Sus scrofa: one gene and its partner. The protein of the gene in region 1 purifies or fractionates together with the protein of each later gene. This does not show direct contact. Links are inferred from orthologs where the notes say so. Each region holds a gene or a part of one and is shown on either strand. Other genes may lie near its edges.

Region 1 (4,098 bases):
TCCAGAGAAGAAGAAATTTAAAGCAGAAGAATAAGCATGCACAGGACCTAGCTGTCATCCAGCACACACACACACACACACACACACACACACACGGATACATTCCTCAGTTCTCACCTTGGGGTGCAGTTCCAGTACCAGCAGGGGCCCACAGGGCAGGGGGCCAGGGCCGCCCCTGCTGGCGGTGATGAAACGGACAATGTGGTCATGCTGTAGGCCAGGCAGCTCGTACAGTGCTCTCTCAGCTTGGAACTGGGCCACAGCCTTCAGGGGGAAGGCCTTGATGGCTACCAGCTTGCCTTGCAGCTGCCCAGCCCACACCACTGTGTGATCTCCTTCCCGGATAACCTGATGCGGACACACACGCACGATGCTGGCGCCAGGTTTCAGCTAGTACCGGGCCAGGCTTCCTCCCCAGTATGCCCTCCGGGAGTGCCTAGAGGATCCCTCCCTCCCTGGGCACCTGGGAGAAGCAGAGCTCGGGCAGCTCGGGCAGCTCGGCACTCCAGTTCCTGCCTGAGTCTGGCTCTGGCTCTGGCTCTGGTTCTGGCTCTGGCCCACCTTGCACTCGGCAGGCCTTACGTTGTAGCAGGGCTGGGGCAGAGAAGAGCCTTAGGGTCAGGGTACTTGGGGATAGAGACTGGAAAGGGGGCTTTGTGGGAAGTAATAGGGGTCAGGGGAGCCTGGACAGGGGTCAGAGCTCTGGGGCAACGTCTTGGGGTCACAAGGGAGGGGTGGGCAGATTAGTACCCACGATGATGCTGCTCAGCAGCAGCAGGAGGAAGAGGAACAGCCCCAGCAGCACCTGTGCCATCCAGATGGACTCGCCTGTTAAAGCAAGAATGCAGGCGGGATGAGCCCTGCCCCAAATTATGCTCTCTGCTCCTCTCCCTCTCGTCAGAGATCTTGCTTCTCTACCCACCCCCACCCTGGTCACAAGCCCCCTTATCTCCCAGTCACCAGGGCAACCAACTTCTCAAGGCCAGGAGGAAGAAAGCTTGAGCCGGGGTTAGGGTGAGAATTGGCCCTGGTTCTACCTCTCATCCTAACCTGGGCCTCAGTCCCAACCTGGCTCCAGCACCCTGGGTAGCTACCTGGGACAGCCTGGGGACCCTGGGAAGCCGGAGTCCCAGGGCTCCCTGGAGGAGGCAGATGGCTGTAATTGGCATTGCAGAAGTCAGTGCCACAGGAGCAAGTGAAGAGAGTGGAGACGGGGCTGGGATGGGCTCGGGGGCTCGGGTCACAGTGGGGGGACTCACAGCCTGGCTCATCACTGTCTCGGCATCCTAGTGCGGTGGGATTGGGAGAAGAGGAGAGAAAGGGAGGGAGAGAGAGAGCACGCACAAGAGAGTATCATGGGGTCTGGGAAACCAGAGGGTGTCCCTTCTCTATCAGAGGCGTCCCTTCTACCTCCTGGGCTTTTCTTTCCCTCCACACAGTCCACCTCTCCTCTCCTCAGCAGCCACCCCCACCCAGGATGTGCCTCTCTCCCACCTGCCACATGCTGTGTTATTCACCTTGCATCTCCACCTGTGCCCGGTCTTGGGTCAGGTTCCAGATCCCAAAGCAGCAGTGGCTGTAGAGGCAGCGGATACCCCTGGGGGGCCCTGGTCCTGCATCTAGCAGCTTCCCCAGAGTCTTTGTGCTTCCCCGCACTCCAGGGGCCTCAAAGAACACACAGGTCCGCCTGCTTGGGGGTGCTGCGACCCAGGGTAAGGAGAGGGGAGGGTTCAAGATGGGAGTGAATGCGGGGGCCAAAACTGCATCCAAAGGAGAGACAAAACATGTTTTATATCCCAGGGCCAGCATGGTAAAGCCACAGGAGGACCCAGGGTCCGCAGAAGCCTGGAACCTGACCCCCCCACCCTACATACACAGGGACACGTGGCTGTACCCTTCACCGTCACTCACCCACCCTACTCACCACTCTTCCAAAGGGGTGGCTGCTGCTTCAAATGCCTCCTTCCTCAGCGGGTAGATGGAAAGACCCTGCTCTCCCTGTAGACACTTACCTTGCACTGTTGCTGGAAGCAGTGCCCAAAGTCCCAGAGTCCCCAGCATCATGCTGAAGCAGTGAGAGGCACAGAGCCAGAGCCAGCACAGCTGCCCCTGGCCAGGGCTTCCTCCAGACACAGGGCACCGTGGGGCTTCCGAGCCCTCAGTCCCCAACTCCGCCCCCCTCCCTCTTCCCAGTCTCTGTGGGGGAGAGGATGGGTGTGGGGAAAAGCAGGGAGAGAGAGGGAGGAGCAGAGAACCAATCTCATATCCTCCTCTCTTCAGCCACCTCCGCTTTTCTCTGCAAAGCAGGAGGAGGGGGCCTTGGAGGCCCTGCTGAGAACCCAGTGGTGCCTAACTTCAAACCTGGGCCCTTTGCTGACCCTGGGAAAGAGTGCTGGATCCTGTCAGCCCTTCCTAGGCTGGAAACCAAAGTGAGGTCAAGGGCTCGGAACCATTCAGCTGTGCCCAAGAGCTTGTCTAGCCCTTTTTTTGGGGCTCAGATCTGCCGTTCCCTGGGCACAGAATGGCCCACACTAGAGTTGACCTCATTTTCCAAACTCAAGAGTCAGAAAAGCAGTTGTATAAAATTACTCAGAGTTTTTAAAAAGTCACATTGAAAATAGGTATGATGGTGAATTTTATGTTGCCAAATTTCCAAAACTGACATTGAGTCACACACTAAACAAATCACCATTATTGAGAAGGTAACAACAATTTTTTTAGGAGTTCCCGTTGTGGTGCAGTGGTTAACAAATCCGACTAGGAACCATGAGGTTGCGGGTTCGGTCCCTGCCCTTGCTCAGTGGGTTAACGATCCGGCGTTGCCGTGAGCTGTGGTGTAGGTTGCAGACGCAGCTTGGATCCTGCGTTGCTGTGGCTCTGGCGTAGGCCAGCGGCTACAGCTCTGATTCAACCCCTAGCCTGGGAACCTCCATATGCCGCGGGAGCGGCCCAAGAAATGGCAAAAAAAAAAAAAAAAAAAAAAAAAAAAATTTGTTTTAGCCACATCCACAGCAGGGAGAAGTTCCTGGGCCAGCCAGGACCAAACCCAAGCCACAGAAACAACCCAGGCTACTGCAGTGACAACGTCAGGTACTTAACCCACTGAGCCACACGGGAACTCCAGTAACAAAATTTTATTGAACACCTATGTGCTAGGGCACCACAGGGAAATGAATTTTACAATAATCTCATCGAATTCGCTCATTGAGCTATTTATTATCATCTTCACTTCATAGGCAAGAAGGCTGAGTTTAGGTAACTTGCCCAAGGTCACTGCTAGGAAGCAGCACAGCTAGGATTTGACCCTAGTAAGTCTGACTCTAAAGCCCAGGTCCTGTTCTTTGCCGCATGCCATGATGCTTGAAAGAAACTCAAAATTTGGCAAGAAAAAGTATTCCCATTTTACACAGTATTTGAATATTTGAATAAGGATTGAGAAAAAAGTGTACCAATACCTGCCAGAACTAACCAGAAAAAGAGTAAGAGGGTACAGTTCAAACTATCACCACCAGAGGTCAGCAGACACACTGAGGGGGCAGAAAGGGCCTCCTCTGAGGACTAATGGCCATAGCACATCTCCAATATCTCTCAAGCTGCAGGAACTATAAAATGCGAAGGGAGGGCACAGGATGTGTAGAGGGAATGTCAGCATGGAGATGGAAGGAGAGAGGTCTATAGCTTGTGCTGCAATTGAAAGACTGGAGTCCAGCTCCTCCAGACGACTGCCCAGAATAAGAAACTACAGTGACTGGTCATTTCCACACCTGGGAGCAGCCTGCTCCCATGGGAATTAGAGCCAGAGGAGACCAGTTCCCTGTTTCCCTAGCTTCTGTTCCCCTGGTGGCTGCCTGGATACCCTTTCTGGGAATGGTCTGGCCTAGATCAGTTATGAGAGTCTGAGTCCTCTTCGACCCTGGAGCCTTTCTCTTGGGAGGCTTGCATGAAAGAAGGAGGGAATAAAAGCTCCACAGTGTGAAGTAGCAGCTAGAGGAATGATTGGAGCTATGGACAGACGGATAGCTGCCCATCCCTACCTGGGCCCTTTGAGGAGTCCAGAGGTAGCATGTCGTCCTTAGTTACAGCTATTTTCCTTCATCA
Region 2 (3,515 bases), on another chromosome or scaffold:
GAGAAACAGATCAAGCACTTTGGTGAGTTGGGCGCAAGGCCTCTCAGGGGGTTGGGGGAGGCCAGGTAGGTGGCGCCTGTGACAAGGGCTGGTCCTCTGCCTCCAGGGCCCTTCCAACACCTTGCCCATACCTTCTCACAGGCATGCTCCGCCGCTGGGACGACAGCCAGAAGTACTTGTCAGACAATGTCCACCTGGTGTGCGAGGAGACCGCCAACTACTTGGTCATCTGGTGCATTGACCTAGAGGTAGAGGAGGTGAGTGGAGCCCACCCCTCGGGCTGGGGGAAGGCTCTGCTCTCTGTCCGCTACTTGGTGACGTTGTGCCTGTTTTCTCCCTTGGCAGAAATGTGCACTCATGGAGCAGGTAGCCCACCAGACCATTGTCATGCAGTTCATCCTAGAGCTGGCCAAGAGCCTAAAGGTGGACCCCCGTGCCTGCTTCCGGCAGTTCTTCACGAAGATCAAGGTCAGGGCTTGAGTGATCAAGGCAAAGCAGGGGTGGTCCTTCTCAGGGAACCAGCCTGCAGTCACTTGGGGGAGGCAGACCTGGGTCCACTCAGACTCAAGCCCCTGTGATCAGAACCTCCTATATCAGAGTAGTTCCCGCTGTGGCTCAGCAGTTTGAGAACCAGATGCAGGGCAGTCTGACGGGGTGATCTAGAGCTCGGGGGTGGCTGTGTTGAATTTGAGATGCCTGCAAAACTCCCCACGGGAGGACACACAGGAGGTGGGTGTCATGAGTCTGCAGTTCAAGAGGCCATGCAAGTCTCCAGCATAGAGAAGTAAAGTGAGCTCAGAGAAGGTGGAGGAGGCCAGATGGAGCAGAGGAGAGGCCTGAGCCCCATGGTGCCCAACAGACATGGCGAGCCCCAGGGCATTTCTGAAGACCTGCAGGGGTCGTGGCGGGGGGGTGGATTCCAGGCTCCCCCAGTCCGGTCCCGTGAACACCCCTGCTCCCTGCTGCAGACAGCCGATCGGCAGTACATGGAGGGCTTCAACGACGAGCTGGAGGCCTTCAAAGACCGTGTGCGGGGCCGCGCCAAGCTGCGCATTGAGAAGGCCATGAAGGAGTATGAGGAGGAGGAACGCAAGAAGCGGCTCGGGCCTGGTGGCTTGGACCCTGTCGAGGTCTACGAGTCCCTCCCTGAGGTGCGGTCTCCCTGGCCCCTGGTGGTCGAGTGGGCGGCCAGTAGAATCCCCTGGGGTCCTGGGAACCCAGGCCATGACCCCATCCCCTGTACCCACAGGAACTCCAGAAATGCTTTGATGCGAAGGACGTTCAGATGCTCCAAGACGCCATCAGCAAGATGGACCCCACCGTGAGTAACTACAAGGGTGCTAGGCCCCGCCTGGGAAGCCGTGTCTCCCTGCCCCCCTCCAGCCCTGTCACCTCCTGGGCTTCTCAAAGAAATAATGGAAGTTTTTGTCCCTGTGAGGCCAGCACACGAGGTGGCCAGCACATGAGGCAGCCAACCTTAGTGCCACACACTCACATTTATTGAGCACCTGCTGTGTGCTCAGTGTCAAGATTGAGTGTCCCTGTCACCCTGGGATGTTTATGAACATACCCAACTGACCTCACCTTTACTCGCAACTCTAAGTGGCCCAGGGAGGAGGACTCCCCCCTCCCCCCGAGCCTCAGTTAAACCAGTTTCTCTCTCACAAAATCCCCAGGGGGCGCTGAGCCCCCAGCTGGTAAAGGTTGGCTCTTATCAGGAGCAGTAATAGCACTGGTTGCTCAAGTACTTGGAGTCTATTAGACCTCGGTTTGACCCCATTCCTGCTGCTTGGCTCATTGGTTGGCCACACTGGTTTGCTCATCTGTAAAATGGGTAAAAATCACAAGGCCTGGCCCAGGGTTTCTAGAAGTTTCTGTGGGAAAGAGCATCTAGATTAAAGGTCTTCAGACTATGGCTTGCAGGCCTGCTGCCCGTCTGTAAATAAAATTTTATTGGCATGCAGCAACCAAGCTCATTTCTTTTCATCTTCTCTCTGGCTGATTTTGTGCCGTTAACCATAAAGTTGAGGCGCTCTGGGTTGAGAGGTTTCAACAGAGACGACGTAGTTTGCAAGTTTACTGTCTGGCCCTCTGCCAAAAAAAAAGTTTGCTGACCTTTGTTCTAGACCTACACTGTTTAAATTTGAATTAAAATCGGAGTTGTGGCTCAGTGGGTTGAACCTGACTAGTATCCTTGAGGACACGGGTTCGATCCCTGGCCTCTATCAGTAGGTTCAGGATCCAGCATTGCTGCAAGCTGCAGCGTAGGCTGCATGTGTGGCTCTGATTCCATCCCTAGCCTGGGAACTTCCATATGCCGCGGGTACACATGGAGGACAAAAATGTAAAAAAAGACAATAAATAGGAGTTTCCATCATGGCTCAGCGGTTAACAAATCTGACTAGCATCCATGAGGACGCAGGATCAATCCCTGGCCTTGCTCAGTGGGTTAGGGATCCAGCGTTGCCGTGAGGTGTGGTGTAGGTCGCAGACATGGCTTGGATCCTGTGTTGCTGTGGCTGTGGTCTGGGCTGGCAGCTCCAGCTCCACTAGCCTGGAAACTTCCATATGCTGTGGTTGTGGCCCTAAAAAGCAAAAAAAAAAAAAAGACAATAAATAAATAAAATAAATGAACTTGAATTAAAGTTAAGTAAAATACAGGAGTTCCCAGTGTGGCTCAGTGGTTAACGAATCCGACTAGGAACCATGAGGTTGCGGGTTCAATCCCTGGCCTCGCTAAGTGGTTTAAGGATCTGGCGTTGCCTTGAACTGTGGTGTAGGTCACAGACGCAGCTCAGATCTGGCATTCCTGTGGCTGTGGTGTAGGCTGGCAGCTACAGCTCCAGTTAGACCCCTAGCCTGGGAACCTCCAAATGCCGCGGGTGCAGCCCTCCAAAGACTAAAAGACAAAAAAAAAAGTTAGGTAAAATACAAAGTTCTGTCCTCCCCTTGCATCAGCCACATTTGAAGTACTCGGTAGCCACGTGTGGCAGGAGGCTACGCTGTTGCAGGGCGCAACTCACAGACCAATTCCACGCCTGAGGACAGCTCTGATCTAGAATAAGCAGGAAGCAGGCTTGAGGATGTGCAGGGGACAGAGAGGCCACCAGTAGGTGGCAGCCCAGCCTCACCTACCCACCCTTCTCCCCACAGGACGCGAAGTACCACATGCAGCGCTGCATCGACTCCGGCCTCTGGGTCCCCAACTCCAAGTCTAGCGAGGCCAAGGAGGGGGAAGAGGCGGGTCCTGGGGACCCTTTGCTGGAAGCTGCCTCCAAGTCGGGTGACGAGAAAGATGTCAGCGCGTGACCTGCCCCAGGCACCGCCTGCCTGCCTGCAGGCCCCTGTGCAACCCTTTTCAGAAAACAAATAGATGCCATCTTCCCAGCTCCTGGCTTCCTCCACTTTTGCTGCTCCTTGACCTAGCCTGGAGGGACCTGCTCACCCCCTCCACTGCCCCCGCCCCCCAGCGCTCATCCAAGTCTCTGCTTTGAGTCAAGGGGCTTCACTGCCTG

Evidence for each region. Proteins that work in one complex are often made in the same cells at the same time.
Region 2: the proteins of AMHR2 (region 1) and CDC37 purify together in Homo sapiens (co-immunoprecipitation; 3 studies listed by BioGRID and IntAct, with this or other methods). This does not show direct contact. The link is inferred for Sus scrofa from reciprocal best matches to the Homo sapiens genes AMHR2 and CDC37.

The regions. Positions count from the first base shown.
Region 1 is NC_010447.5:18,640,923-18,645,020, reverse strand, and holds the start of AMHR2 (anti-Muellerian hormone type-2 receptor), read right to left. Parts: upstream 2,809-4,098; 5' UTR 2,065-2,808; coding exon 2,013-2,064; exon of another isoform or gene 1,810-2,012; coding exon of another isoform or gene 1,761-1,809; coding exon 1,518-1,760; intron 1,287-1,517; coding exon 1,095-1,286; intron 829-1,094; coding exon 751-828; intron 595-750; coding exon 464-594; intron 349-463; coding exon 118-348; intron 1-117. UniProt on the Homo sapiens protein: On ligand binding, forms a receptor complex consisting of two type II and two type I transmembrane serine/threonine kinases.
Region 2 is NC_010444.4:69,202,899-69,206,413, reverse strand, and holds part of CDC37 (hsp90 co-chaperone Cdc37), read left to right. Parts: coding exon 1-22; intron 23-141; coding exon 142-257; intron 258-345; coding exon 346-468; intron 469-968; coding exon 969-1,151; intron 1,152-1,249; coding exon 1,250-1,321; intron 1,322-3,153; coding exon 3,154-3,309; 3' UTR 3,310-3,515. UniProt on the Homo sapiens protein: Co-chaperone that binds to numerous kinases and promotes their interaction with the Hsp90 complex, resulting in stabilization and promotion of their activity. Inhibits HSP90AA1 ATPase activity.